Lepisosteus oculatus: one gene and its partners. The protein of the gene in region 2 purifies or fractionates together with the protein of the main gene of each other region. This does not show direct contact. Links are inferred from orthologs where the notes say so. Each region holds a gene or a part of one and is shown on either strand. Other genes may lie near its edges. The genes, in order: rbl2, e2f1 and sirt1.

What was found.
Region 1: the proteins of e2f1 (region 2) and rbl2 purify together in Homo sapiens (affinity purification with western blotting; 3 studies listed by BioGRID and IntAct, with this or other methods). This does not show direct contact. The link is inferred for Lepisosteus oculatus from reciprocal best matches to the Homo sapiens genes E2F1 and RBL2.
Region 3: the proteins of e2f1 (region 2) and sirt1 purify together in Homo sapiens (affinity purification with western blotting; 3 studies listed by BioGRID and IntAct, with this or other methods). This does not show direct contact. The link is inferred for Lepisosteus oculatus from reciprocal best matches to the Homo sapiens genes E2F1 and SIRT1.

Annotation. Positions count from the first base shown.
Region 1 is NC_090715.1:2,786,361-2,797,438, reverse strand, and holds the start of rbl2 (retinoblastoma-like protein 2), read right to left. Parts: upstream 4,328-11,078; 5' UTR 4,101-4,327; coding exon 3,963-4,100; intron 2,179-3,962; coding exon 2,048-2,178; intron 1,196-2,047; coding exon 995-1,195; intron 1-994. Other genes in the region: chd9 (chromodomain-helicase-DNA-binding protein 9), read right to left, coding at 10,232-11,078. UniProt on the Homo sapiens protein: Key regulator of entry into cell division. Directly involved in heterochromatin formation by maintaining overall chromatin structure and, in particular, that of constitutive heterochromatin by stabilizing histone methylation.
Region 2 is NC_090711.1:15,206,663-15,217,294, reverse strand, and holds the start of e2f1 (transcription factor E2F1), read left to right. Parts: upstream 1-5,385; 5' UTR 5,386-6,722; coding exon 6,723-6,962; intron 6,963-7,991; coding exon 7,992-8,082; intron 8,083-9,238; coding exon 9,239-9,458; intron 9,459-10,632. Other genes in the region: pxmp4 (peroxisomal membrane protein 4), read left to right, coding at 1-109, 1,874-2,143. UniProt on the Homo sapiens protein: Transcription activator that binds DNA cooperatively with DP proteins through the E2 recognition site, 5'-TTTC[CG]CGC-3' found in the promoter region of a number of genes whose products are involved in cell cycle regulation or in DNA replication.
Region 3 is NC_090699.1:33,367,886-33,378,418, forward strand, and holds the start of sirt1 (NAD-dependent protein deacetylase sirtuin-1), read left to right. Parts: upstream 1-6,442; coding exon 6,443-6,809; intron 6,810-7,627; coding exon 7,628-7,747; intron 7,748-8,016; coding exon 8,017-8,255; intron 8,256-8,851; coding exon 8,852-9,004; intron 9,005-9,309; coding exon of another isoform or gene 9,310-9,329; coding exon 9,330-9,477; intron 9,478-10,533. Other genes in the region: dnajc12 (dnaJ homolog subfamily C member 12), read right to left, coding at 1,594-1,672, 5,281-5,358, 9,310-9,363. UniProt on the Homo sapiens protein: NAD-dependent protein deacetylase that links transcriptional regulation directly to intracellular energetics and participates in the coordination of several separated cellular functions such as cell cycle, response to DNA damage, metabolism, apoptosis and autophagy.

The DNA of each region.
Region 1 (11,078 bases), on a different chromosome or scaffold from region 2:
CTGCTACGCTGGGTGCTGTTAGTTTCATTTCGGAAAATTAGTAAATGTTGTGACGATCAATTTTATTCATCTTTCATTACATCTAACGTAATCAAGCGTTACACGTGACCTTTGACTTTCGTTGCAAACTATGTTGTAATGAGTTAAAACTAAAATCATGTCGCTGCAAATAATAAATGCACATGGTCCCCCAAAAGGACGCTGAAATATGAGATGGAGCAGGATAAGTGATTTCAAAACAGAGGTACGTCAACTCAATTCATGTATGTAATAACACATTTGTATTCCATGTGGTTTGAGTCAGATCCATGTGACTAGCGAACGGGACACAAGCCAATTTTCTAGCTAGAAATATAGACTACTTGAGGTGGTTTACAAGAAGTTAGGTTTAGTAGTCCCATTTCATGTTATTAGTTTCAATGTTAAAATACGTTATCTTTGTAAAATGTGTGCTTCTTTTGTTCTTGTTTGTAATTCGTTTTTCATGTGCTCTTGAAGGCCAATAATAATAATAATAATAATAATAATAATAATAATAATAATAATAATTTAAAATAGTTTTTTAGTTATATAATCCATTTATCTAATTGTTCTAACTAGTGAAATAAGTTTGGGTGGGAGCTGGTAATAGTAGTGTATGTGTAAATTGGGATCTGGAGGGTCCCCTTTCCAAGATCTTGCCTGGGGTCCCCAAAAAACTGGGGTCCCCGGCAAGGAGAATTCGAGCTGAGGGAGGATCAGAGCAAACTGCAAGCTGCTAACAGCTGGAGTGAGTGGCACGACTCCGGTCGGGACTAAGCTGAAAGCAATAGAGAGAGAACTGGCTGGTGTGTCACTGTGCCAGAGCCAACGAGAAACTGGACTTGAGCTCATTCTGGGCCAGAAGGTGACACAGCTGGACACCGCTTTCACGCTCAAGACTCGGGGACAGAGACCGCCAGGCTTTCCTGTCGTCGCGGCACTGAAAAAAGCAGGGGGCGGCCGGCGGACTGACCGCTGCTTGCGGCTCCTCTGCACCCGCGGGGGGTCCTGGGAGGGGTCCCGGAAGATGTCTTGGAAGATGGGGGCGTACTTCTTGAAGATGACGGCGGAGACGGTGAAGTTCCTCTCCAGCTTCCTGGTGTGCTCGCGGAAGTGCGGGGGCAGGCTGGCCATGTCCTCCCACTTCTTCATCTTGCTGAAAAACTCAATCAGGCTGCCAGGCCAGGGGAGCCGGGGTTAGGGACGCGGGCGTTTAGCCTCTAGTCAGCTTGGTCACTGCAAGCCTGCAGTCATATTCCTTTGTCTGGCTGATGCCTTTGTCCAAACTGACTTACGTGTGTACCCAACTGTCCAGCTATACTGCTGGTATTTCATGAACAATGTTAATACCAGTCCCAGTGAATACAAGCATGGGATCGCTGTAAGCATAAATAAAGAATATTGAGAGGAGAGCACCTCCTTAGTTATTTTTAGTGCTTTTTTAAATGAAGAGCTCAACCTGCTGACAGTCCCTCTGTTCACTCTCCTGACTGAAAGATTCCAGTCTCCTGCCGGACTGTAGCAAATGAAAGAACTGGACACATTTGGCATTACCATACCTTGAGTCCAGCCTTATCTATCCTCCCCTTACAGTGTCAATGAGGTATCTCGCTCAAGGGTACAACAGTACTGGCTCACAGGGGTTTGAAGCATCCAGGAGCCCAATCACCACCCTAAACTGCAGCTCTTCTCAGCCTCGTGCACATCTCATCGTGTGAAGCGTGTTCCGAAACTTCTGGCCGACATTTTCCAATTCAACCGCGACCTTCTAAAGATAAAGTGGTTCCTAAAAACGCATGGAAGGATGTTGCCACATAGAGGGCCTTGTGTAAACTCAATGGGTAAGCCCTTTCATCCCAGCAAGTCAACCAGACAAATGAAAAATACACAACTCCCCACATGAGGTTCTTCCATTAAGATAGCTGCAGTGGTATCAGCACCCTGAGGTCGTGTTTTCTCCGGATGAGAAGGAAGAATGGCTCTTCACCCTTCTTGGCTTTGCCTCTCCACCCTCTGGCGTACCTACCTCTGCTCAGAGCAGCGCAGGATCCTGGTCAGCGAGACGTAGTTCCCCTCCGCCGTGCCCTTGCCCACAGTGGGGACGGCCGTCCTGCAGGCCACGTACAGAGAGCAGGCCAGCCAGTGGAGCTCGCTGCCCTGCGGGGGAGAGGAGACGGGGGGAGGGTGGCAGGTCTGCAACACTGGCTCTGGCTCTTGGGCTTGCAAGTCCAGCACAGAGAGAGCGCATGTTTCATCTCCCACGCTTCCTGTTGTTTTTAAGCACAACTCCCTTCTGGGGGGCTGATAACACACAATATCTGCAGGGGACCTGCAGGGTTCCTGTGGGTTTTCAATACCTGGAATATGGACTTCCTTGCTTTGCGTGGTAGAGTGCCTGTGGCCCTTTGCTGTACTTTCCTCAGGGTGACCTCAGTACAAAGGAGGAGGTAAGACGCACACTAATGCCTCCAAAACGTCTCACCCTGAGCCAAAGATTTATGTTCTTTTCCTCTCGCAAAGGGCACTGCGCCTTCCTGGCAGGGCTCTGTAGTGTGAAATCTGAAAAGAGGCTCCTTTTTCAGTGTAGCTGCCGTATCCCTGCTTTCAAATCAAATCAAATCAAAGTTTATTTATCAAATGCACAACAATACATCGTGCAGCAGTGGTTGCTGGCAACTAAATGTCTTTTCCGCGAGCTCACCAAAATCACAAGAATCTCAGAAATCACAAAAATCACAAAAACACCAAAATCACAAAATTGAGGTTATGAAAATAAGGTTTCATAATGATAGATGTCACCTTATTTTCATTACCTCAATTTTGTGATTTCTGTGTTTTTGTGATTTCTGTGATTCTTGTGATTTTTGTGATTTTCCAGTGCGTCTGTAGGGATTTCGGTGTGCCTTGAGTGGCCAGCTTGCTGAGACACGGCATCGTATTTGGTGGCGATATATTTCTACTGGATTATACAATATGACCACAGTGTCCAGTCCAGTCAGGGCTGGGAGGAGTGATGCAGAGCTCAGATCAGAAGGAGATCAATTCTGAAGCCCTGCTCACTGAACTCAAGGACCAGCAGCTTGGACTTCTTGAATATTTGGAAAGCAACACTTTAACACTTTTTTTTATATATTATATTATTGTAATCTAGTTTAGATTATGTAAATAGCTTCTTTTTCATTTGATGAAAAATATTTCAATTTTTAAATGGAAATAAGGGCCATACCCAGACATTTCGTTAAGTTACAGCAATTATGATACAACCAAATAACTGAAAATCATCATCATGATCATCATCAATAATAATAATAATAATAATAATAATAATAATAATAATAATAATAAATTCTTGAGATGTGGCTAGACGTTTTTATCAAATACAATATTGATATCAGTTTTCATCGGAGATCGTTCCGTTGGCGTATGTCTACGAATACAATAATTGTTTTAATTCATTTATTACCGTTCACACTCGGAAAATAACAAAGCAATAATCTAAAAAAGGTTATATATTATTAATTAAAAATGTTCGCTCCCAGCAAACACCTTTTACTCGACTAAAGCCGCCCAGAAAACGACATATACGGGTTGATTTTAGTAAAGGTTCAAGATTGTATACCATTTCTATTACGATGTCGGTCCTGGGCTGAAAATACCAATTCGCCACACAGAAACGATAACGATAGGTTGCCAAGCCGATGGCCCTCCCCTCCGCGTCGCATCGTTAACACTCACAATAATGTAAGAGAAAATAATGTCATTACATTGTACGAGGATATTTGCCCCTTTTCTTCTTTTAAAAAAGCTACTTGGGCTACATTGCAATAGGAAATAATATTGATTGGTCAGTGCGAGTTTGTGCTTAGGGACTTTTTGGATCACTACCATTTTACAGTCTCTAAACCGGTGCGATTGTATTGCACTTGGCTCGGCTGTCTTACCTCTAAGGTGTAGTTTTTGTTGATTTTTTCGTAATTCCTCCAGGCTTCATCGCCGGCCGCCTCGTCCATATTCAGCGCCCTGCAGAGATCCTCAAACCTCTGTCTCGTCGCCTGAGAAGCCTCTTCCTCTTCGTTCATATTTGTTTTATTGCACTCTTCGCTCAACTCGAGATTAAACAGACACCAGCCCAAAGGAAAACCACTTCAAGGCTACGAGGGCATGACAAGAAGCTGCATTAGCAGTTTCGAAAAACACTTTACTAAAATGCATGCATAAATTAAAAGGCAAACCTGTATCGGTGTTTTGTACAGTGCAATTATGTAGCCCTGTACAGTGTAGCCATTTAAATGCCTTTTGAGTGACAGCTGCTACTGCCGTACGCTGGATCCGTACAGATCCCCTCCACAGCGCACTGCTGCGCAGAGTTTCTGGCGTAACAGCTTTGGTAAATTAGCGGTAGCCTGCGACCAAAGCCCGCCCCCAAAACTGCGTCCCACTTTTGGAATGGATAACGCGGAAGTCACTCAGAGCCCAAACATAAACTTCCTGCAGCCGCGGAGCGGAAAATGAGGCGTTTATTTTTTTTAAAACGAGCTCTGCACTGTTTCCTTTTCGAGAAAGAGAGCGCTGCATTTATGCTTTAGTTCGCTCTGTTGCAAAGCCTGTTAAAACTCATAGAATGAAGTGCTGAACCAGTTTGTGACTGGAAACATAAGAGTCCACTCTGCACACGAATCTCGCTGCAGAAGGTTTGCAGGACTCGTGATTAAAATTTCTGACGTTTTATGTGCAGCAAAATTGTCCTTTCCGCTGAGAGTATTACAAGGAAGTCGGGTTTAGACTGTATTAAACAAACACCCAAAGAACCACAAGGATTAAAGCACAGTCCAGGCTGTAGGCAGCTCTACTGTCTGAACCACAGGGCCTGGGAGGTGGGACTAGAGTCCTCTGGACCTGGGTCTGTGCAGCACTACTAACACAAGACACAATGCAAGGCTCTCCAAAACACAAGAGTTAGCCAGGCTTGAGCAGAGTGCAGTCAACCCTTTGTGTATTATCATAATTCCTTATACTCATATTCCATCACATTACTGGGGCACTAGAACCCACAAACACAGCGGGGTGATCTACTGATCCCTCTAACACCTCTTCCAGCAGCAACCTTAGCTTTCCCAGGTCTAATCCTCTGTGTTTTGCTCTTCTGATGCCTCCTGAAGGGCTAACTGTCGTCATCAGCCCTTTACCCAGAGGTGTCCAGTGCCAGTTCTGGTAGTCTTCAAGGTCCGTTTAAAGCCACAGCACCCGAAGAGCTGGCCCGGCTCATTAAGCGTGGAGTTGAAATAAAATCATGCAGATGCAGGGCCCTTCCTGTACAAGGGCTACCAGTTGCACAGAGGAGTCCATCACTGGTCCGCTAAGGGTCTTGTCCCACAGGGGGACCGGCTCTGGGTGGTGGGAGGTCTGTCTGCTGCTCAAGAGAGATGAAAAGCTTTTCTGACCCTTATGCGATTTGTCTTTTTATTTTGAACCTTATAGGACATTCTCTTACATCCTGGAATGCATCTGAGTGTTCTTGGGACTTATTTCATTGCAGCATCATCTTGTTTATAAAAGGATGAGTAAAATTATAAGACCTGAATTAGGTCTTAGTAGTGCGTTGTACAATTTTAACAAACGTTCAGCATTTTTATTATTTAACCGAACACAGTGTGCCTGTCTTTTGATAAACTCGCCTCATATTTTTGCGATGTCAATGACATTACCCCGCAAAAGCACGGAAAAACAAAAGTACAAAATTCACTTGATTTGATCTTAAAATAGTTTTTACTTTGGAAACATCAGTTAATATAACGGACACAGACAGACTTCGTGGATAGTCAAAGAATATGTTTAATAAAAATAATTAAACTTCCATTTCCTCTATAGAACTTCATAGAAAGTAATTCAATAAATTACAAATGACTTTAAGACGCTTTTTTTTCCTCCACTACAGAAAGCATTATTTGACTACACAGACCACAACTTGCAAATATTGCAACTGTCCAAAAGAAAACAACTTAAAATGACTTTCAAGGTTTTATCAAGCTGAAAACAAAAGATACAAATACAAGGCAAGGATAGCTATTTTCTTCTTCAGCAACTACTTTACATAAATGATCTCCTTTGTCCCCTTTCATGTCTTAGTGTACATACTTTTTGCAACACCTGCATACAGTCTATTTGCATATTGGTTGGCTGAAATTTAGGGTACACGTAGATGACCTTTTCTGAGGCAGGGGGTATCCATTAACACAACCTGGTCCCAGCAAGTTCATATCCCCATAAATTGCAGCAGCGTAATAGGACAGGGCAACGAAGTCCAAGACATAATTAAAATGAGACTAAACTGCTTAACTAGAAAATGTGTCAAATACCTGAAGACAAAAACACAGTGGAGGTTGAGTGCAAGTGGAGATGTTTGGTGGAGGACTCTAATCTTTATTCTAGATGGAAATAACATTTGAATGCTTGAACCTTTTTGTTCAAACCCAGAATGCAAGTGACCGACTCTACAGTCCAGTGCTGGGTGCTTATGGGTACAAATGAAAGTTGCTGACCAAATTCTCACCAAAATACTGAAAATGCACCCTGGACACCAGTGTTAGGACTAGGTAGGTCGTAAAGGGGGGGAGGAGATGAAAAATATGGCAAGCCACTGACTGCACTGAATGCAGATTTACTGGCACCCTAATGATTTTAACGAGCTCAGATTGAACGGTAACCTTCCTTTGCACTCGTTCACTAGAGTGAACAGCAAGACCTGTAGTTAGGAAATGTGTTTTTTTAGCTGACAACTGTCACCAGAGTGTCATGTTCAATTAGCAGGAGAAACGATAATTGTGTAGAAAAAAATCAGTATTCAGCTGCTGTTCCAGCAGTATTCTGTATTCCTTATTTTAACTATATATAAGTAGGTTAATCTCTTTTAGTCTATGCCAAAACATGACCAGAATAGACTAGTAATACTGTCATTGGAGAAAGCTTCCCAAACTAGGCTCAGGGAAAACTTTACTAAACATTCTCCCCACAATTAAAATGTTCAGTAATCAGTTGATCTAATTTTTGGCAACTCCTTCATTAAGGTAACTGAGCAACTGTAATGCCTAAACTGGCAATACTTGCAGTAATACCAAAAGTATGTATTTTGTGGTTGAATTAATTAAAATGGCAGAGGGTTATCCACATTTAGATGAGACTCAAGTCAGGACCCCTTAGCCATAAAACTTCAAGAAATATTGTTGTAGGTGACCTATTCTACTTAATTACAACTGCAATAGACTGCACCTAAAAATTCAAGGTGGTCATAAACTGGGGTATTCCAAAATGGCAACAGCTTGAAACTGTCCCCCAGCAATGAGATTTTGGGGATCCCCTACTGTAGAGCATACTGTAATGAGAGCTGTGGATGAAAATTACAATGCAACTCCTTCAAGCAGAGTCTTCTCCACCATTTGTCCTCTAACAAGAGCACAGATTCTGTGTACAACCTGTTTTAGAGGAGCGCTTGTTAATAGCTCATACAAATGGATTTCACAGGTCTGAAAAGCGTCACTCCATCATGGCCCTCCTACAGGGGTCAGTACATATACAGTGTCCCACCATATTTATTCAAATGCCCCCATCTCTAGTTTAGATACCTCCATGCCAGCAATCTCCCTCTCAGCCCATTGCGTGACTGTGCACTAGCTCTGCAGAGCCTAGTTCCCAGACACCTGCTTCATTCCGATTGGCGCCGTGCTGCACTGAGGCGCTTGACACACATCTCAGTCAAGGCAGCGCATTGTTACTCGTTCTCACTTGGCAGGGCGCAGACACGGCCCTGCACAGTTTCAGGAAGTGCACAGCCCCCCCTGGGGGGGGGGGGGGGTCTCTATAGGCCAGCACGTGCAGGTGTGCACAACACACACACACTCCACGCTACGTTACGTCACAAAAAAGAGCAAAGCAAAGCAAAACGTGCTCCGAACTGGAAGGCCTGCGGAAATACTTCTGTCACGGTTTGATCAAATGTCAAAATTAAATCATTCATCCCACTAGCAACACAAGGACTCAATGGCTCCAGTCTGGGGGGGAAAAAAACGAGGCCAAGAAGTCTGGTACACAAAAGTTAACAATTAACAAAAGCTCATCAAGCTTCTACTCTGCAAAGACCACACTGATTCAGTTAACAGTTTTAGTAGTGTTGCAAGCTAACTGGGAATAGAACACAGATTTAGCCTGTATAGTATTTGGCAACAGTTCATTAGGAATTTCCTATACATACTGCATTGCTTTCCATCTGTGCCTCTGCCGCCGTTCATAAAAAAAGTACTAACTTACCCAAACGGCTCACACTATGCCTAAATCCTGATCCTTAGCACAACACCACTTATTGCTACAAAAATTAAAACAGCAGAGTGGTCTTCATAAAATTGCAAACTATAAAATTTCATCGCTTTTCATTATTTATAGCTTTATCATGGTGTTACAACAGCCTCCCTCAATACACCGATACTTGCTTTTGCGTGAGAGCTGACGTCAGCAACTGAGTGCAACAAAACAATTCATTTCATATCGTAACGCTTTAGTTGCTCAGAACACCAGGGATCCGTTTGTAAGGACTGAACAGAGAGCGAGGCGTCTGGTACGCAGTTCCCGGCGACCAAGACTCTGTTCCTTTACAAACCACACACTCACAGTTACATCTGATCCCTCCTCTACCGTCTACAGAGCCCGGCACAGGAAGCCGGAGAAGCCTGAACGACAATGCCGACAGAAGTGTGGCTCTCTCTCACAGACTTTTCTTCTGAGCCTTGGGGGGGGGGCGGTGGGGCAGAAATGCCAGAAAGAACAAAACAAACACACAAAACCAAATCGGGGAAATGAAAGAGCACAACACCACCAGAGCCCGGTGAGTCAACGTAGTCACAACAGTCAGCTAGGCGAGAACAACACTGTGCAGGACACTCGAGTCTTTTATTTCTGAACTGCTAACAACGAAGTAAACTGCTGTAAACTCGACACCAGAACTCAGCTGAGGTAACAGCCACTCTCGTTGGCTGACTGGGAAAGGTTTTCGTTTCCCCTCTTTGTTATTTTAAATTAATATTCTTCCGAACACACAGTTGTACCTGAAGTTGATTTTTTTCCTCTTCCCATCAGCAGTGCACTACAACTCAAGATAGCGTTTCTAAAACTTTTTTTTTTCTTTTTAAGCCCGGCTCCCGTTCCCACGCGGATTATCATTCGGCACGGTTCCGACTCGCTCCGCTGTCTGGTTTCCACTAGCACTCAGTGGTGTGGTTCTGGACTTGCACCAGCACAGAGCAAACAGGTTTATCGGTGTTTATCCACAGAAAACAGGTGCCTTCTAGCACAAGGCCTCTGTTACTGACCTGTGCAAGAGCACATAAGAACCTAAAGTGCAGTTAAGACAACCCATTGCTAAAAGAAAACAATTATATACATTATATATATATACACACACACGTAGATAGGCGTGTGATGTATACAGCGATAGCCAAAAGGCCTATATACTGTTAATCTGTCACCTTTATTCCTTCCCTAATATCACACAAAGCACTTTCTAGACGGAGAACCAGCACAGCAGGAGTAAGACCGCACAAAGACATGCCTGGAGCACCAAAGCAAACCACACTGAAGGGAGCAACAGCTTCTTTAGGATCTGCAGAAAAATGGCAAAGAACATGTAGAATCTACAGCTTCTGTGACATTCATTAGCTGCCCGAGTTATTGCTGAGTTTTCCAAAGTTTGATCTGTAAATTATAAGTGTCAAGGAGGCTGTAAAACTATTTACAAATTAAATCAAAATATGTATAAAGTCCTGTGTTTTTTATCCCCACTCCAAATATATTAAATGTACAGCTCGGCTCGAGCATTAATTTTCTCTTTTTTTAATAAAATTAAACCCCAACAAAATTATAATAATGCCTTTTTTTTATCTGTTGCAATTGTACACCATTGTGTTATACAAGTTCATGTATTTCAGAAATCTAATAAAGGTTTACATGCAAATTGTCTTTCAAAACAATATTGTACCTTTGAACAAACACTGAAATTTCATTTCAGTTCTAGATAGGGATCTTTTCTTTTTTCATTTTTTCTTTTTTTTTTAAATGACACAACACTTTCTTCCGTTTTTGATATTTACAAAGAAAAAAAAACACAACGTAAGTGCAGGGTTATCTATATATAAATATATATATTTATATCGAGACTACACGGGGCTCAGTCTTCGTTGCTGGAGTCCGAGTCCTCCGACGACGAGGAGGAGCCTTCGGACTCGGACGACGAAGACCCGGCCTTCTCCGAGCCCTCCTCGGCACTGTTCTCCTTCTGCTCGCCGGGCTCCTGGCCCTTGGCCGGCGTGCTCCCGCCGGCCCCCCGCGGGGTCTCCCCTGAGGCGGTGGCGGCCGGGCGGGCACTCGTGCTCTGTTGCTGCGCGTCGAACACGCCGGACTGAGACAACGCGGAAATGGGAAGATTAAGGCCTGGAGTGAGAAGCATCCCTGGATACAGCATACTGGAGAGTAACAAGGGGTTAAGAGCTAACGGGTGGTTAGAGGAAGCAGCCGCAGCAGCCACAGCTGAAGCACTTAGGGGCGCGGTGGCGCCTGAGGTCGAAGGGTCACTCGGGCACTGGTCAGCGCCTTGACCTTCTGTCCTTTCGCCTTTCGTGTCTGTAGGCACGGGCGTCTTAGAAGCCGAGGAGGAAGAGTCGCCGCTGCCGCCGTTTCCCTTTTTCGTGCCGTCCTCCGAGACCCCAGCTCCTTCCTGGGGCTTGCCCAACAGGCCGCCCATACCCAGCAAGTTCGGCAGGCCGGCCATGCCCGAGAGCATCATGGGAAACATGGCGGCGAGGTTGTTGGCGTCCCCTGCGGCGGCCAGTCCCCCTGGCAGCCCCATGAGACCGGCAGTGAGATGCAGGGACTGCAGGCTCTGAAGGTTCTGCTGGAGGGCCTGCAGACTGGACAGGTCCATCCCCGAAAGCAGGCCGTTGGACAGCAGGGGGTTGATGGAAAGGGTCGCGGCGCTGGCGTTCGCTGCTGCCGCCGCCGCCTTGGCCATCTCACTC
Region 2 (10,632 bases):
GGCCATACAGCAGCGCCTGCAGGGGAAGAGTCAGCACTACCACTCCTTCCTGGCCGCCTGCCTGGGGGGCTGGCTGGTCTTTGGAGACAATAACCACATCAACAGCCAGGTGACCAGCGCCTTTCCTTTCTCACTCTACATCTGTGAACCAGAAGGTTGCCTTTTTCCAACTTACAGTTCAGACATCAGTTTGCAGACCAGCTGAACCTACAGGAACATCTTATCTGATATTATCTAACATGTTGGTTACAAGAATACCTTAATTACCATGATCTAAGATGAATGTGTGAACCTTAAAAGGAATATAATTAAGTGTAGTTTAACAAACAATGTTGATGATGCACAAAAAATAAGTGAATCTCAGCAGTTTATGTCTGGAACTGTATTCAGAGATGGCTGAATTGGCATTGCACAAAACAAAAGATGTTTATCTTGATCTGCTTATAATGGAGGAGAATTTTGCTTGCTCTACAAGAGAAGAAGTCGTTCAGGCTCCTGGGACAATGACAACCTGTATGGAAAATATACTCTTTGCGCTATACTAAATTTGGAAAAGCAAATTTAGCAGTAAATTTATTTTACCTTCTCTCGGTAATCCGGGTGATCATCTGTTCCACATATGGATTGACTGTGCTAGCTGGGAAATTGGAATAGTTGGTAGTGTATTGCAAGGATCGCGGGGATGGCTTAGAATGATGAGGCACTAAAGAAGATTGTCATTGTTGTGAATTGCATAAAATCAACCTGGGCATGCTGGTTTGTTTTTGTGGTCTTTAAGATGTTCTGGGGGATGTAAAATGAAAAGAAATATCCCCATATTAAAAGGAAAAGGAGCTTGTGAATGCCTTACCTAGACTTACTGGTCACTCGGTAGACTTTTGGCCCACAGACACCTGCAGCCTTGCAGCGTGTCATAAGATGGGACTGTTCTGAAAGACAGGCATGACATCTGTGGAAAGCACATCTGTGGATCCCCCTTCTCTCAATGTGAGCTCATGAGTCGTAGCCTGAAACCCAGGTTTTAACCACGGTTAGATATAGAACACAACAAGATACTTGAAGTTTAAAATTTAGAAAAAAGATTGACCCCACACTTGAAATATAAGAGGTTGAGGGAAAAAAAATGTTTAGTTGTTATTGTACAGTCTAATGATCTGCAAGTTTTCCTGCTTTCTGTATACAACCAAGTTTGGAGCAGGCATTAAAATGGCCAGTGAGAAGGAATGCTTTTATAAACGTGCACAACTGTACATGATTGTAAATCCAGTTAAGAGGAAAATGGGCAATGTGGAAATGAGTTTTTAAACTCATTTTAAGAACTTCCCAGCAGCTATATCACCATGCAATTTACAACTGGTGACCCACTGAAGCTGAGCAGGTGTGATCCTATCCAGTACCTGAATGGGAGACCTCCTTGGAAAGCTAAGGTTGCTCTGTGGTCTTTAAAAATCCCAGGGTGTTTCTCGAAAAGAGTAGGGGTGTAAACCCGGTGTTCTGGCCAAATTTCCCATTGGCATTTATAAATCAAGGCCTCGTAATAATCCCCATCTATGAACTGGCTTTATTACTTTGTTCTCCTTCCCATTGATAGCTGGTGTGTGGTGAGCGTTGTGGTGCACTGTGGCTGCCGACACATAATCCAGGTGGGACTGCACATTGGTGGTGGTGGAGGGGAGTCGCAAATTATCTGTAAAGCGCTTTGAGTGGAGTATGCAGAAAAGCTCTATATGAATTGTAAGGAATTATTATTAAAAGGGGGACGGTGCAAGAACTATATTTGAAAATTGAACACTACAAGGAAGAATGCATTACTATTTGAAGGCTGTCAGATTGTGAGCTGTGCAATATGGTACATTGCTTTCATTCTCCACAGATAAACATGTACCTTTTGTCCCGGATCCTGTTTGCTCTGTCTCGCTTGGCTGTAGAGAAGGGCTACATCCCCCAGCCGAAGAGAGATCCTTTCCCTCTGTTCGCAACCCTGGTGTGGGGCATCGTGCTGTGGCTCTTCGAGTACTACCCCCATACTCTCCAGCCTTCACTCCAGTCCTCAATGAACTACCTCTACCACGACAGCAACACCTGGCATGACATCTCTGACTTCCTCCTGTACAACAAGCCCCGGGCTGGGGCTCAGAACTAACCTTCCAGCAGCTTGGACCCTTATCTGGGACGGGCTTGTCGGGTTCTCTTGCAGGCAGTTCAGATCAGTTAAGATGAAAGTTCAGGAAAATCCAGCCTTTTTAGAAGAATGTTCGTACTACTGTTTCCCCTTTGGTCTTGGGCTTGTTTTGCATAGCTGAAAGTCTATTTACTAAATGTGTATTGTGAGTGGGTTAGCAAGACCTTTATGACCCAGCTGTACATTTCAGAGGAGTCTGGAAAAATGGATGTCAATTTGGTCTTCCATCATTAAACCCCATCTCTTTAGAATTATTTAATATCATTAGAATTGGAATTTTCTTGGGGTGGGGGGAGGTGGTTTGGACCTCACCTCTTTTCAATACATTCTCAAAGAAGACATTTCCATTCCCTTAGAGGTGGGAAAGCAAAACTGGCCTCCAGCACTTCTTAGATTTTATATTTGACTAACTTCAGAGTGAAATCGCAGCTGTTTCCTGATGATCTCTGAAGAGGGCTGCCTTTCCAGAGCAGCTGTGTAATGTGCATGAATATTTTCTAACATTATGATTGAATAATGGAATGTCAGCTTATTTTCAAGATATGCCAAAACATCCTTCAGTTTTTTCTTGTCCTAGGTGTTTATCAATTTCTACGTATACTGTATATTAACCCTGAGACCAGCAGATAGTACTGTAATGTACGTGCTGTTTTCCATAAGGTTTCCAGTCACTCATCGAGAAAAGGTCCTTGTAGTTTAATTTGGCTGTGTATTTTTAAAAATACTGTTTACAGTTTACTTTCTTAATAGTTATTTGTTTGCAAGTTCTGTGTAATACAGTAAAAGTGTACAGTGTACACTTTGTTCCTTAGTTTTGCACTTACAGAATTACTAAAACCTTGTAAACAGTTAAGTTTTTTTCTTAAATCACTGTGACACGTTAAGCCTATGGTATAGAATGGTTAATATTTTTTCTGTTTTCACATTTTATGCTATTAGTTTTGATGCATGACAGAATCATGATTTTGATTCTTCAATTGTAATTCTTTGAAGTTTTAATCAACAGTAGTAACTTTATTCTGTCATGATAGTTCTTAAATGAAATAATTGTCTTTAATCATATTGGGCATAAAAATAATAGGACTATATCTTAACATAAGAACAAAACTCCCATGGCATGATAAGGCAGGATGGTAAATATAGGTTATCAGTTTTTTTAAATTGGATCAAGTTCTCAAATGCACTACATATGAAGCTTCACTGAACAGTTTTTTTATTAATAGAATACTATTATTTATATCAATAGTTATACTTTATTATAATAGAATAATAAACCATTCCATCTTCTCTTTCATGTGGGTAACAACAATAGAAGTGATTTTTTATATCTACATTGCAAACTCAGATTCACAACAGTCGTTTTGGAATTTGGGGTTTCTGAGCTTTGAAATGATTTGCTTCTCAATTGTACTGTAGAATTTTTTTTTTTCTGTTGTAGTGTGGGCATGAAAGGGCTGGCTTGGTTAAAACCCAGAAAACACGCTGCCTTGTGCTAATTTGTTGTTTAATCACTTAAGTTATTCAACATTTCAGAAGGAAGGACAGCCCCCCAAAATAACTGGTGAATCTACAGGACAGTGTTAGGAGACCCCTGACTTTAAAGCTTGTCTGAGTGAGCTAAAACATTGCTTTTGCAGAGTATTACCACTGAACATTGAAACGCACAATATCCAATATTTTTAAATAAGTTTCTCTTTTTCAGCCCAGGTCTGCCTATTCCTTATTCTGTCCTGAGTACTGTAAGGAATTGTAGCTTCAGGTGAACTGGACTGGTTCTGTGTCTCTTGATCTATGACTCTTGAGTATGTTTTGCAATCTGTGACAGCAGTCTTTTTTTAAACCTGTTTATTTTTAAATTAAGGATCCAATCCTTAATGAGAAGCAAACTGAGATCATGTTAAGAGTAACCGTGCTGATCATCGCTGTTTAAAGTCAAAGCTTTTATCCAAGTTACAGAATCTGAGTGAACATCAAATATAATACTGAAACAAAGTGACAGTGATTTCCTTTTAATGTTGTATATAAAAGGCACTTTCTAAGTGTTGACTCATCACTGAATGCATGCCATGTATATTGAATTTTGCTTAGTATATGTAAATAACATAAACTGCTCAGAATAAATTTTTTAAAGCCCTACAGTGCATTTGTTCTCTTTGTTGGCTGTTGAAAATAATAGGATCCCTAGTGTACAGATATAAAGTAATGTTGTCATTTGTGTGTTCTCCTATTTACTTTCAAATTCTATGTAAGCTTATTGTTGGCAAAAAAGAAAGTGAATTGCTTGGTTCTCTCTAGCAATAGTGTCTAATCTGAAGCAGACACGTTCATGCTCTAGTCTGTAAAGACATGCAGGGCTGGGCCCCTTATCTGTGCTGCCAGTAGTATGCAGGACTGATGAACAGTGCAGGGGCTCCGCAGGGGTGGTGTGGTGGCTCTGTGTGCTTGCGGCTGGAAGGTTGTGGGTTCGAATCCTGTGGTTCTGACCCCTAGCTTCTCTCCCTGTCTCTGTGTCTCATGGAGAGCAAGTTGTGGTATTTGAAAAAAGACAAATTTGTAATATAAGAAATTGTTTATGGCCAATAAAGTAGCCTTATCTTATAAATGAGCAAACTTTCAACCCTTAGGTACTTGTTTAGGTTGCAGTGGCTGATCAGTCTCAGAAGACCCAGCCAGCATCTTCCTGAGGTTCATGGGAGTTCTGGCTTCAATATCTTGGCTTGGCAGTTGTTCCTTGGCATGTTGTGGGTCTGTCCAGTAAATGTTTAAGGAATCGGAACGTTTTGTGATTTAGTCACAAGCTTGTTCAAAATATCACATTTTTACGTTTCGGCAAATTCCGTACTGGAAAGAAAACCTGCATCGTTCACAGTTTAGGAGTCTACACGCAGCACGTTAAATAATTCTGTTTCGGATTGCTGCGATTTTCGGAAGGCCACGTTTTTCAGAGGGGGTGATTATAATCTCACACGAGTGACATTAAACTCCTGTGATTTCTGCAAGAATTTCCTTTGTGCTCGACCTCAGTGAGTGAAGACCCGCACACAGACCCATCACCTTCCTGCTCTCCAGCACAGCTGCCCTTCGCGGGGGGTGTGTGGGTGGAGCCAAAAAAAGGGTAGGTGCCGCCCCGTCAGTGCAGAGCTCCTAGAGCTCCACCAATCCGGAGGCGGGGTTAGCACACGTGCAAGTTTCGCGGCAAAAAAGATTTGGCGCGCAAATCCCCAGCTCTTGTCTGATCAGCTGGGACAACAATAACAATAACAAGAACAAGTTGTAGATGGGGCGACGGGGGTTCTGTTGCGGAAAGTACCATACATTCACTTCTTAAGGACTATTTTTTTCTGAATTTATGCTGGGGAATTTTTCGTTGTTTGGCATTTTGGGTTGTTGGAAAACATCTGCTTTTACGCGTATGAAGGATTACGCTGTTTTCTGCTTCCTGAATACTAGCTCAAAAACAGGGGTGTGCTTTTATTTTCGCCTAGATCAATGGAAAGAAACGGCCGCAGAACGAGAGCATATAACTGAATGGACAAGGCCCTCGGGATGTTCTTGATACACCTTTTGATTTCAGATTTATGTCTGCTGAAAGACAAAATGCGCTGCGCTAAACTTGAAAATGGAATTTAAATGAAGAAGCACCAAATATTTTTAGAATATATGGAATCAAAGCATTCATGCTCTAGAGATCATTAAGATGGACAGTATTATTTTTGTGCATTTCGCAGACACGAATGGACTGTATTGATATCGAATCGATTTGTGATCGTAAGGCGCAGACGGAGCTGGGACAAAGGGCAGGGTGCTCCGGAGAACTTGAAAACCGAAAGAAAGATCGTGCGGTTGCACGGGGTTTTTACAGAGGCTTAGTGAAGAACTTAGTTGAGAATGTGTGTTTTTTAAGGGACCTTAACAGTTCGCATTAAGATGCATAGATGCATGCGATAAGAAAATGTATAGTTGATTATACAATGATTGCGTTACTGGACTGATGTAAAATGTAGGGAATCTAAAATGTAAAAATCCTGTTCGCACTCAGAGGCGAGTGTATGATTCAAAACGAAATTGATGATATGGGAAAAGTCTGGCTTTTTAAAGTTAAACTTGTGGCCTTTCGCATTTTATACTGACTTATTGTTTCGACCGCTTTCTGTCAGGCTGGTTTGAGGCAGACTAGGGGCCTGTAGTTAGCAGTCGAGCTCTCTTGAGTCTTTGTTGTGCGTTGCAATTACAGGTCCTGAGCTATACCAAACATGTTTCACTTGCGCACCCACAGACTGTAATTACACGTAGCCGAATGCCAGGGTTCAGCAATTGGCTTTTATGTGTTATTAGGATATACACCCTGTAGGTACAGTGAGGCAGGTTTACTTCGCGAAAATTAACATTACTCTTAAGATAATGGCTCCGGTTGTACTCCTGTTTTTACCATTGTTCCACGCGGAGACATGAAGCTTTGCCACTAAAGTATCTCAATTACTGCCACAATCCGAGCCGGGCAAAGAAGGGGGGGAAACGGGCAGCCGACCCGCGGAAGGCCATGTCCGAGACAGTGGTCACAGGTCAGACTTCGGAGGACCTTCTGGCTGACTTTGAGTCCATTTTGGGATCGGGAAGTATTGAGCTGAATGAGGATCAGATTGTCATTATCTCCACGCCGGCGCATGTGGAGATCCAGCCCGCAGGCTCCAGCGGCGCGGCGGAGATCCTGCTGTTCGCCACCCCGCAGGGACCTGCCCCGGAGGACGAGCAGCGCCGGCCGGTCCTGGGACGCCCTCCGGTAAGGGCCTCTCTGTCCCCCGGACAGAAATACAACTTGTAAATGCAAGAGGCTGCTCATCTGTTGCGCAGATGGATAAAGTCCGATATATATGGGCATATGGTCTAGTCGTGGGAAGTGGCTGTTGAATCTTTTATTGAAGACTCACAGTTCATTCAAAAATATAACGCTCATGAAAATCAACAGGTCATCATTGTGCCAATGGCGTTTTTACTAGACTGGGGGTAAAAAAAAAAACATATTGCCAGGCATGTTTGTTACTGAGGATTGTCAGGAAGCGTAAAACTGGTCATTGATTTTTGTGGTTGTCGCTCGTGGAGTGGTGCAATAATGCCCTGTTTTGTGTTTTGATGGTTTTTCTGAGGATATAATAACAGCAGTTATAAGGGTACTGATGAGGCACAGTGAGGATTGGTGGTGGCCTGTCATTCTTCCACGACAGTAGTTTAAACTGGTAGTTTGTTGGTGTGGTGGGCGAGCTGCAGGTTGGTCAGGACTTTTCTGTCCATGTGGCCAAGGGAATCTGCATGAGGAAAAGGCTACAGTTCGCACAGCAAATGTAGAACCGTGATGCTGGCGCTGTGTGAGAAATCAGTTAATGCGAAGTTTGTTTTATAGTTAAGAAAATTGACACCAGAAAGATGAATTGCCTTTAGGGACGTGCGATTCTTTAAACATTAATGTTATGCACATGATCAGATCATCCTGTGTCAGTTTTGTGCTCTCCAGTATTTAACGTGCTGTGCTTTTTCAGCAAGTGCCATGAAAGTATGAAGTTGACGGTGCCCTGCTCTGTGTTTCCAGACCCATGCAGAAAACTTGAGTGACTGAACAGCTGAGATGAGGGGTTGTGTTGAAGGTAGAGCTAGGCAGCTGGTGGGTTGGGCGGAGGGGGGGGTACAACTCTGTTACAATTTTGTCAGGCCGCTCCAGGTCGCTTTTTCCTCTGGGTCTAGATACCCTCAGTGTGCTTCCCCGGTTTCAAGTCATGTACCCGCCACTGACTTGTCTCTCCCAATTCCGGCGCAGGTGAAGAGAAAGCTGGACTTGGACAATGACCACCAGTACGTGTCCGAGATCCGCCATCCACCCCGAACCAGGCCTCGTGTGCCGGAGAGAGGTATGAGCCAACCACTTCCCTGAAAAAGTACTTTCGAAATCCCCCAGCATGTGAGGAGATCGAATTCAGTTACAACACCCTTCAGAAGGAGGGTATAGGAAAGCCAGCTGATTCACCAGATTAAATAAAATAGAGAATACAAAGTATCTGTATGTCTGAGCTTGAGATTAATATAAATGCATAGAATGGGTGGTACAGTGGTTAACATTGCAGCACTGAGGGCCGGTGTTCAGTCCTTGGGGTGCTGTCTGTGTGGAGTTCGTATGTTCTCCTCATGTTCCCGTGGGTTTCTTCCAGGTGCTCCAGTTTGCTCCCACAGGCCAAAGACATACTGTGGCTTGTGTGTGTGTTTGCGGACTAGCGTCCCGTCCAGGCTGTAACCTCCCTTGTGCCCTGTGCTTGCCAAAAATTCTGTGTCGTGGCAGCCTGGCTCTTGGGTTACTATACAAGAGTTATACTTTCATGTGCCTCTGTGCTCTTCATTTCCACAGCAGGAAGACCTTCCTCGGTTCAGTAAATCTAGAGGAAGCCAAGTTTTCTGCCTTCTTGACTGTGGTTGATTGAAGGACAGTTTCAGAGAGGAGGGGGAAAACAGCTGGAAGCTTGCTCCCTTGGCTCCTGAAGCCGATACCTTTCAAACACCAGCACGTTCATATTTTGATCTCGGGTACAACAGAGAATATGTAAGAAAAGAGAGGTTTTGGAACACATCTTTAAAGCAAGCCTCTGACATCTTGAGGGTCTAGCAGGCGGTAGAGGCACATTGCAGCAGGCCTACCTCTATCCAGGTGGCTTGTGAGACTTAGGCACTTTGAAAGCAAAAAACTGCCAAGGAGACTTTATTTGAACAAACTCTTCAATATACACAAACTAAAGTACTCTAAGTGGCCCAGCACTTTTCTTGTGAGTCCCTTAATATAGCAAATTATGCTCAGTTAACTCCATGTGAGAGGATGTGACTCTCATCCCATCACCATTCATCTAAGTAATCAATTAATACCCCTCATGTGAACACAATAGAGATCTTAAGTGACAGGTTAGCTGAAATGACTACCCTCATTACTGCAGGCCTGCCACACACACCTTTTGCTCCAATGCCAGGACAGAACTGTTGTGGATTAGCCCTTCCCTGATTGCCCAGACTCTCCTTCCTCAGGCCTGAAGTCCCCCAGTGAGAAATCTCGCTACGACACTTCCCTGAACCTCACCACCAAGCGCTTCCTGGAGCTCCTGGCCCAGTCCCCCGATGGTGTGGTCGACCTGAACTGGGCCTCGCAGGTGCTTGAGGTCCAGAAGCGCCGCATCTATGACATCACCAATGTCCTGGAGGGCATCAAGCTAATTTCCAAGAAGTCCAAGAACAACATTCAGTGGCTGTGAGTCTCACCGCTGCTTAGCTAAGAAGACACCCGGTGACAGGAACTGCTGAATGCAGCTTCTACAGATCTGAATGTCTAATATAAATGCCTCCTGTTTTCAATCCTCATTGCATCTGCTTTGTGGTTCTGCTTTTCACCCTGTGCCGTCATTGTGTTTTGGATTGGCTTAGCTGAGACCTTGGACAGAGTTGTCATATGCACAAATGCAATGAAATGAATACACCCAACTCTCCAAGTTATGTATGCAAGGGTTCTCTTCCACAAGGCTTTATGAATCCTAAATCTTATTTAAGTCAGGAGCAACCCTTTCCTAGCCATTGCATGAACACACATAAAGAATGACTATTTATGATACTGCAGCAGGGCAGGTCAGTAGCGAAGTGGTTAACATTGCTGCCTCGCAGTGCTGGGGCCCTGGGTTCCCAAGATGGGATTTTGAATGTTTTCACTGTGCTCAGTCTCCTTGTGAGTGTGTGTGCGCATTTGTGTCTGTGTGTGCCCTATAATGGACTGGTATCCTGTCTGGGGTGTACCTTGCCTTGTGCCCATTTCTTACTGGGATAGGTTCTGGCTCCTCCACAACCCTGAATCGGATAAAGTGGTTCGAAAGTGGATGGATGGATAATGCCGCAATCCTGTCTCGTTTTCCCTAGCTTTGATGGTTAACAGGTGTGTGTTCCGATGACAGAAGGGGGTAGAGAGCTGGAGAAAATGTTCCTGCACTGTAGCTTGGAGAAAGAGAAAGGAAACTTCCTCTCTTTACAGGGAGAGACAAATGAAATAACAATGAATAAAAAAGTTTTTAAACACTATAATTAGAATGATTAAACACCCACTATAGCATACCCTTAAAAATATACAGTACAGTAAAAAAATAAACATGAGTGAATTTCCTTTGAACACTTGTATAAATACTGTACATTTCCTTACCGTACACTGTATGATTCAGTAATTAAACACACAGTAATAAAAATAACAAAATCACTTGGGTGCTTCCTTGGCATGACCTGCACTGCAGTTTCTCACAAATTTTCATTGAAAAATCGTGACGTAGTATGCAGACTTTACCATGCGTGCACAAAGGCAGAGCAAGACTGAAGAGCAACATAGGGTGTTTGTTGTTGGCGTCAGAGTACACACACGCTGGCTATTCATCTGCAGAAGGACCATG
Region 3 (10,533 bases), on a different chromosome or scaffold from region 2:
AATGGAGTGCCTTTGAAACAGAAACAGTCACTTTATTAAAAATATTATACTAAAATGTCCCTTCACATATTCCAAATTTCATGTGATGAGCTGTAAGAAACACAATAAGACAGTTAATAAGGAACATGAGACGTTGGGCTTTGCTGATAATCACAATTACAATAATTGGTTTTACTCTAGTTGTAATGATAATTTTGTTTCAGTCAGATTAACTGCTCTTCCCTTTACATAATAGCTTCCAATAAATTTTTTGACAGCTAATTTATTACCTTAAACTGTTATGAAAATCTATCATGAGATTGCGTGGTAACACTGTGGTATCAGGACTCATGTGTTTTAAATGTTATATAGTATAATGTTTCTCTTAAAACACATAGGATTGTAAATGTAAAAAACACAAAAATACCATAAATACAAATCAGGATTTAACACTTGCTTCTGCATTTCCTATTCCTTGGAGCCTCAACATGTACGGTATGATTCCTTAAGATGTTCCTTCCCTGCATCATAAATTACAATACTGTGGCATCTAGAAGCTCCATTAGTTGTCTTATGGACAGGAATTTACCAAAGGCTTGCAAACATAACGCCTTCAACAATGTTATATTGGTTTAACTAACAAAATAAAAATTAAACTGCAACCTTCAGGGATCCTGTGCCATGCATGCTACTTGGAAAAAACAAACCACATATCTTTAAATAATGGAGAACCAAAACTTTTTCAATGATTTAAGATTTATCAATGTATTAAAAACATCAACAGGATAAAAGGTACAATTCTGTTATGGATAAATATAGAAGATTGTTCTTTGTTTTAAAGGAAGAGGTTTGCAAAGGTAAAATTAAAACGATATTGTTCAGTATGGTCATAAGAAAAACAGTTCTCAAAGAGCTCCAATGACAGGTGGACTATTAGTTTTAAACAAAATTATTATTCAAGCATTTTCCCAGACAATTGGCTGCAATTACAGCCATTTTCCCTTCACTGTATGTTTGGCATCAATGGCTCCCTTAGTCATGGCTGTCACTCACATCACATTTGTCAGGGCTCATCTCCCATCAAGTAAGGAATGAGTACCAAATCCTGAAGGTCATGAATTTCACATCTAGATGACTGTACCCTGTACCCTAGGCCAGATCTTGAATAACACACACTTCCTGTACCCTGGAACATACTGTGGCGATGCATCTGAGCCCAGTGAAGGGAACAATAGATGCTGTAAGAGAAATCAGCTAACCCAATAACTGCAAAAATAATAAATCACAGTAAAGAACTTCAGATCTACAGAATTAGTCTACATCAGTAGTGGACATTGCAGCTTCATTGACAATAGGAAAGGAAGAGGTCAGTTTTACAGCATCTGTTTCAAGGGTTAAGGCTTGCATTTCAATCCCAGCTAGGGCAGTCTGGGACTGCAGTTCTGAGGCAGGATCAAAAGTTAATTTCAACTGCAAAGAAGGAGATGAAAAAGTGAAAATATAAATATTCACACTAAATGTGAACACATTTACTTGTCACCGTTTAAAATGTTATTCAGTTACACTGCTTAGTGCATGTGAACATTGCAGAAAACACAGTAGAAGAGTAAATACCTGCTTTGGGATTTTCCGGATGCTTGTCTGGGTGACATGCTAGAGCTCTGACTTTGAACTCAGCCAAGATCTGGTCCACCTAGAAAAGAAAAAAAATCATTAATGTTCCTTTGACAGAAATGTAAATCATATAAAAACAACAAAAATGTTTTTTTTTTTTAACTTATCTGGGTGGCTTTACTGATTCATGCAGCGATTGTCAGTTTTGTGCACTACTGTGTACACAGTTGGAGCACTAATTCACACCTCAGTTTAACAGTACAACTGGATACTTTCCAGTATTCTGACAAACGTAGGGATATTTAACATTATTCCAGTAAAAAAAAAAAGATTTCTGGTAAAATGTAACATGTAACAAATGTAACGTGAAGCCAGCAGCCATATCACCCTGCAACTCACAACTGGCAACCCACTGAAGCTAAGCAGGTGTGAGCCTGGTCAGTACCTGGATGGGAGACCTCCTGGGAAAAACTAAGGTTGCTGCTGGAAGAGGTGTTAGTGGGGCCAGCGGGGGGCGCTCACCCTGCGGTCCATGTGGGTCCTAATGCCCCAGTATAGTGACGGGGACACTATACTGTAAACAGGCGCCGTCCTTCGGATGAGACGTAAAACCGAGGTCCTGACTCTCTGTGGTCATTAAAAAATCCCAGGGCGCTTCTCGAAAAGAGTAGGGGTGTAACCCCGGTGTCCTGGCCAAATTTCCAATTGGCCCTTACTAATCATGGCCTCCTTATAATCCCCCTCTATGAATTGGCTACATTACTCTGCTCTCCTCCCCACTGATAGCTAATGTGTGGTGAGCGTTCTGGCGCACTATGGCTGCCGTCGCATCATCCAGGTGGATGCTGCACATTGGTGGTGGTGGAGGGGAGTCCCCATTACCTGTAAAGCGCTTTGAGGGGAGTGTCCAGAAAAGCGCTATATAAGTGTAAGCAATTATTATTATTATAATTCACTATTGTCAGTCTTTGCTCCATTTCTTGACTAAGCTTGCTTTCTTCTTGTCCTATGAAACTAATAAATAGCTATATTTTTATTTCATTTTATGCAACTGGTTTAACTGAAACATTTCCTAACAAAATGTATAATCTTAAGTCAGTTCTGCAATTCCGATTACAATACCTTGGGAAGAATCAATTGGTCCTGTTTTGGCAACACAGCAAAAAAAATACCATATTTGTGCTTCTTTACAAATTGGAGTTCACGTGCAACATCTATGCATAAAAGGAATGACATCAAACCAGAGACACAAGTAAACACGTCAGTTTGCGTCCTTCTAGCTTCTCTCATACATACAATCTACTTCCTTTCTTGTCTCAGAGTCTTATCAGAAATGTTTTCCATTGATTTGCACCTGAAAGGATTATCTATGAGAAAACTGCTTGCTTTGAAGAAGAGTGGAAACAAGCACTCTGGTGAATCTAAACGGAGAACAATCTTCATTGTGTGCAAAGCCAACGTTGTGCACGTCATATCTGCAAAATGCTTGAATGGTCCTGAATTATATAATTTGTATGCATACCCATAAAGGGTGGAAAATGGTGTTTATTTCGCTGGTGATATGCAAATTAGAGAACTCTAATGACATTATCACACTTTTTCCTGCCTATGTTACATAAGGTTTGAAGAAGCGGCAGTGACCTTGAGTAAATGAAAGAAATCCAGGGAACCATGAGCAGAATGTGTTTTGTTGAACGTCAACAGACATGAAATGACGTTAAGAGCTGAACAGCCCTCAGTTTTCTCAGATTAGAGTTGTGCATAGGTGTCAGGGAAGCTGATCTGCAAGTGTCCAGAACATAGATGGGTTTGGTAGACTGAAAAATCCACACATATTGTGATGAGACAGACTACGGTTTAGGGCACCTTAAGGCTGCTGTTTGTGTGGCGTGAGCAGAGTACAGTAGATGCTGAGGAGTGCTGTTCAAACTCAATAAATACCCAAAAGACAAAATTAAAACTAAATGATTTGCATGACCTTTTCAGTGAAAACACATATAGATGCGGAATAATGTACTGAATATATTATTTTCCGTACTAATAACATCTCTAGATTTACTTAAGATCTTTGGCATTTCCAGAAGGTTGTCTAGGGTAGTCCTAGCTCACTACTACTACTGATAATACATTCCATTTCCTGATCACTTGTGACTGCAGTACTTATCACATTGTTTTTTGTGCAGCATCTATGCATTAGTCTATTCTTACACTGTAAGACTATTCACAGAGACAAAGAAACTGTGAAACATTAAACCCATTGTAATTACAGTGTCCAAAAAACACACCCATCTCATCCATGTGCTAGACAGCCACTGTGTACTGTAGCTGGCTTCATGCCTAATCATGACTAGAAGCTTCTGGAACTCATGATGCTACATCTGTAATCACAAGCCGATAGCTGAGAGGCTTGGTGAAAGTGCTGATAGACAGCTGTGTGGGACATCTTCAATCATGCAGAAGCTGCACACCAGCTGCACTCTGAACATTCAAGCTGCAGAACACCACTCCAGGTCTCAGAATGGGACCTTAATCGATTGACAAGGATGACTGGGCATTTAATTCACCACTGCTGACATTGTGACTTCCCATTTGTCTGTTTTACTGTGGAGGGAGGGAGGTTAGATACAGTAAATATCTTGGCAAATGAACTCTTGTAGTCTGGACAGCTGTTGTTTGGGTCTTCACAGGTAAGCTGGTCATCAAACATTTGTGGATCTCAATGTATTTTATCGTTTAATTTACAGAGTTATTTTACACTGAAATATGTAGTTTGTGACAGCATGTAGTGCGTGAAGAAATTAGCAAGGACATTTATATCATCTCACCCTAACAGCCAGTAATCAATACTAACAGAGTGTAGTTAAATATAAATAATTACTTTCACTTCTAGTTTTAATTAACAACATGGATTTAAATTAATCATGGGCAGAACATCCTCAGTAAGACTTTCTTAGTTTTTTTTCCTCTCCAGAAATTAGCAAACAGTGAAACTGTGTACTCCAATATAACTTTTGTCGTTTAAAAACATCAATTTCAGGAATCCCAAAGCTTGAGCAGATCACCAATACATCATCATAAATAATATTACAATAAAACGGCAGCATTACCCCCAGAAATCTATAAAAATGGCAGGGTTGTTCATTCTTTTCTGTTCCATGTAAATGATACTTAGGCAAAGAAGGCGTATTTTAGAATATTTTCAACAAGTACCAATTAAAACAGGTACAATCGCTTGCAAAAGTCTACATTTCCACTTACTGTCATCAATCAAAATAACTAAACATCTTCTCCACTTCCTGTTAGCTTACAATACAATGACACAAACACTGGTTTTCCATTGAAGGGATTTAAAGAAAACCAACGGGTGCTATTTCGATGCACGTTGTATATCCTTCACACCGATGGATATGTTCAATAACACAATGAAGTTTATCTATTAAAAAAAGAAGTGTCTCTCTCCTTTATCCAATTGCTACAGTACCACCAGAAAAAGACGTGAAGAAAAAAAAACATTTTAAACATCTACACAGATGTTTAGTGTTTAAATTAGTTTCTCTATCGCCATTCAATAAACTTTTAAACTGAAGATGGGTCTGCAAAATGGCAACGTTAGTAGAAGTTATTGACTTAAAACAGGGAAAGCAGTAAACCAATTCAACACTTCATTTTAGCTGATTTAAAGCTTACCGAAGACAGTTCATCGCATCCAAGCAAACCGTAGTAGTCTTCCAGATCTTCAGGTTTGCAGTTCAAAATCGCGTCCATCTGAAGACAGGTAAGGTTTACCAACACTAATCAAGATACGCGTAGTTCAGTACCAATTGCTTCAAATATGAGCAATGAAACAACTTTACCTTAAACCTGCTAAATGTAGCCTATCTTATGACTCAGAAAATAAAAAAAAAATCATTCCAGTTCTTTCACGCAACGGTCAGCTGATGCTTTTGAGCATTTTGATCCAGAGTTTATTGGACCAGCGACGGTGGGAGGAGAAAATACACACTGAAGGGGCTTTGACTTACATTACACAATGCAATTTGGGATATGTAGTCGAGATGTCCAGTACATCTCCTGCGTTGTACCTAGAACCTGTTAGTATGTCTATTATCCCGCTTCGTAAATTTTAAGTTAGGTCTTTTAGTTTACATTCCGTATATCAGGCAAAAGTACCGTAGAGTGTGATTCAAAATCTCGCATCTAGCAATCACTGTTTAACACCAGTATGTATGTTTTAGAGCCGATATCGGTGCACAAAACCCTTTATAGCACCTATCATCATCTAACCGAAAAAGATTAAGCAATAAGCAACGTCCTTTATCATGATTAAATGTGATATACATCTTTAATTCAATAAATATCAGAGACACAGTCATCCCTGCTTTCCATACTTGCTCGCCTCCGAGCCTATAAAATAACGGAAGCCATTTGCCAACAACGCCTGTGCCTTTCAGGCAGATACATAACGCTTAAACTTAAATTTGGTTTGATGGCCGAGATGAATCATAGAATAAAGTTGCAATGGTTATTAGTATGATGGATTATAGAGAGACGTATAGATAGAGAAAAGTCTTGTGATGAAGCAAGGCGTTATCCGTTAGATACAGCCACGGTACTACATTCTTTGTCAGCCCCGAAGGCGCCTGCGCAGTCGCGTCGTTCCGCCCCTGGCTCCACTCTAGTCACATGACATCGTTTGTTGTGGTTGACGTCATCGGCTGGTAGCGGTGTCGCGTGGGCCACCGCTGGAAGAGATCGAGTCACGTGGTCCGTTTAAATCTCCCATCAGCTGTCGTGCACGGAAGATTTCTATGGTCGAGTCTGAGCGGCGAGGAGCCCGAGTGAGCTAAAGATGGCGGACGGAGAGAATATCCTCCTAAACTCCAGCGCCAGTGGCTTCGAAACAGATGAACCTCTGCCTAAAAAGCCGAAGGTGGGATTGGCGTTTAGTTACGGGGATAAGGCCGCTCAGATCGATCAGGAGAGTGGGATCGGGGCCGGCGAGACTGGGGCGGCGGCTGCCGTAGCACCAGCAGCTGCAGCGGTGTCGGCGGCGGCGGCGACGACACAGCGGCCGGGGTTGGAGGAGGTGGTGACGGTGGGACAGGCCTCGGCTGCACCAGGAGGAGACAATGGGCTTCTGGGCTTGGAGCTGCAGGAGGGGCTGGGGGAGGAGGGAGAGAATGATCCGGTCGGCGGTTCTGCTGCAGAGCGACCAGGTACGGAGTTCTCCGCGATCGCTGCTCACTCCTGTCTGGTCCACTTGAATTAACGTGGACAGTCTAATACAGTCTGTAGAACTTTTCACAACTCTACCGGTGGATAAAAATTACATAATAAAAAAGTGCAACATAAATGCCGTGCAAGGGTAACCATTCTGCACCAAGCGTACCTATTTACCCGCCATGTACAAAAAACTCCGAAAACTTAAAATTCTGCATAGTCTATATTGAACATACATTTAATATAATATTCGTGATTTAAAATTGAGAGTAAAATTTAACGTAGCATTTTTCGTGTATAACTTTAAGGATTAATATAGGGCCATGTATTTCTGAAGTGGGCATCGCAGTTTTGTACAGAAAATTAACTAATGCAATGATCAGAACGTGCACATATCAAGAGTATGGCAAGAAGGTTTTCTTACGATTTACTTGCAGGAAAGTACCAGTGCGTCTGGGGTGCATAGTATAAGGTTATTAAAGTAATTAAATAACGGTTTATATAGACGCTGGATTCTTTACCGAATAATCGTGATTTCCTCATACAATTTCACATCGAATTATACCCGTCTACTTGGCGCTTTATTATAAACTCTACAATCAATTAAAAAAAAACACCAGAATCAGTCACACCTCTTTCCTGTGCATATATAATTTGTAAAAAAAAATCTGCAGATTTCCTTGTCAGTCTTTCAATTTTTCAGACATGGCGTTGAAGATGTTTCCATTATTTTGTGATTAACTGATTTGTACAAACTCAGTTAGGTCAAGACAGAGCCGTGATTCAGTTTTCTTACTTTTGTTTTTGCTGACAGAGTACATTGATCTCAATGATGAGATTCTGCCCAATGGATTCCATTCCTACGATTGCGATGACGATGATGACAGATCTTCGCACGCAAGTTCTAGTGACTGGACACCTCAGCCCCAGATAGGTATGGCTTTTAAAATAGTAATAAACAGTTGTGTCAGTAACGCAGACATTGTAGTTTTATTCAGAAGACAAGAGTTTGTGTATGGGTTTTAAATTTCATTCTTGCAGACAAAAATGACAGTTGCATTTAATTTTTTTTTGAATATGAGATTCCAGTTGAAGTATTGCTGAAGTGGAAGACTGCTTTTGGAAATTAATTTAATAGGTTTAAGAGATATTAAGATTGTGTCAACTGAAAAATTGATTCAAGTCAAATATGTTTTGTTTCAGGCTCCTACAGTTTTATTCAGCAACACATTATGAGAGAAACAGACCCTCGAACGATTTTAAAAGACCTTCTCCCAGAAACTGTTCTTCCTCCTGATCTGGATGATATGACACTGTGGCAAATAATAATCAACATATCGGAGCCTCCAAAAAGAAAGAAACGCAAAGACATCAACACCATGGAAGATGTGGTCAGGTTACTGCAAGAATGTAAAAAGATTATAGTTTTGACCGGAGCTGGGGTATGTAATTATTAGAAATGTCACTGAAGAAATACTAGAAAGGCTGTGTTTGTCTTAAGAGCTACAGCGGAGTACATCGTTTCAAAAATAATGTAGACATAACTGTATAGCACATAGCAAATTCAGGCAAATGTTACTGGAAAAGCATATTGTGTAAAGCTTTTTATAATCCTATATGCCTCTCAGTAACTCTTAATATCACACGGACTTACTCCAAAACCTACATCATGAGCTTAAAATGGTGCACTGTTTTAGGATTGTTGGATGTTAAAATTTGGTTAAATAACTAAAAGCTGAGCAGAAATTCTTTGTAGCTGGGAGCTGAATCTCCTCCTTCATTGAATTTAATGGAATAATAAGAGGAAATGCTGTAATTGGGGAAAAAATGAGAAAATCTAGGTATTTAAAATTATTGTATGCGCAGAAGGAGCGGACACCAACAGGATTTTTCCTTCTAATGGAATCTTGAGGGTGTTTTCAGTAAACCTAGATATATCTTTCTTTAACATCATTACATGGGTCTTTTGAAATAAGTAATTTAGTGTTGGATTTTATGAAATGTGAAAAGAGCTGTAAACATTTCTTTCTGACTGCAGGTCTCGGTGTCCTGTGGAATACCTGACTTTAGATCCCGTGATGGCATTTACGCGCGGCTTGCGATTGACTTCCCCGATCTTCCTGATCCTCAGGCGATGTTTGACATAGAATACTTCAGGAGAGATCCGCGACCCTTCTTTAAGTTTGCCAAGGTTTGTTCATTTAAATGTAAGAGCGCCTTGCCTATGTCACAGATCGCTGCCGTCATTATTAAACATGCCAGAGTGACTGTGACTTGTGTTATGAATAAATATTTTACATCCAAAGCATTTTTTGCTTACTTTTTTGGGAAATTGCATATTAACATGTACATGCACCAAAATCACTACATTTTGAACAGGAGATGATTAAAAGTATAAGAAGAAATGGTCTCCATTTTTGGGGTGTGTAAAATGTTCTAAAATTATTTGAAACATCTTACATTCTCTATCAAGGGCGGAGTTTTTGGGTTACTTACAGTGTGTTCTGCTCTCTCAGGAGATCTATCCAGGACAGTTCCAGCCGTCGCCATGTCATAAGTTCATTGCAATGTTGGATAAGCAGGGGAAGCTTCTTCGAAACTATACTCAGAATATCGACACACTGGAGCAAGTGGCTGGAGTACAAAGGATCATACAATGTCATGGTTAGTTTACCGTCCGTGATGCGTTTAATACATTTAAAATACAAGTCATGAAAATTTTCAGATAGTAGAGAAACCTATAAGACAGAGTTGCAGTGTCCCTGAAGGTTTTGGGGCCATGAGGTCTAAACTAGGATTTTTACCATGAACTCGAATAATAATTTCTCATGCAAAGGTCCAAATGAAAACCAAACAAACAACTCGTTGCTGAAGTTACCAAAAGATAGGGAGCAGAATAATGGAGACTGCACTACATGACGTGTGTGAAAGTAAACCTTTCATCAGCACCAGGAACAGGAAAAACAGAGTATAAATTGGTCTCAAGTGTAAAGGTGAATCACAAGAGTTTAGTAACTGCCTTATGAACAGGTGAGACAAAGATCAACCTTTACCAAAAGTGACGGAAAGGTAAAATTGTGGATAAAGAAAGGAACTGCAGATGTTTCAAAGAACACCATCTCATTTGGGAAGCAGGGCAGAGGTATTGACAAGCTACAGGATATTAATGCTCTGGAACTGGCTCGTTCATCTTTATTAACATGAACATTATTAACGACTAATAATGGCAGAAGTAGCAAAAAAGTCTGATGATTATAGGAACATTTTGTCTGATTATGTGGACATTCTTCCATACATATTGGGAAGCAATTCAGTATACAGCAAGACAATGACTCATGCCATATGGCCAATCAATTGATCATGTATTTCACATGCTGAAAAACCAATTGAAGTGCTATCAAGAACAGGCAGTGGTTGCAGCAAAGACTTGGCAAGGAATCTCAAAGGATTATACAAAGTTTGGGGAGTATAATAGGTCTCAGACTTCATGTAGTTATTGCCTTTAAGGGATATGCATCCAAATACTGTTGGCCACTTAAAACCACTGAATTGTTTTTGTTTTAACTTGAATATTGTTTGAAATGACCCAATAAGATACATAAAATGTTTTAATTTTGCTATCCTAATACTTCTGAAAGGCAATGTAGTAATAATTAGCTTATTTCCAGAATGTCTGTCTGGATGACATTCTAGAGCTCTGACTTTAAACTTGGCCAAGAG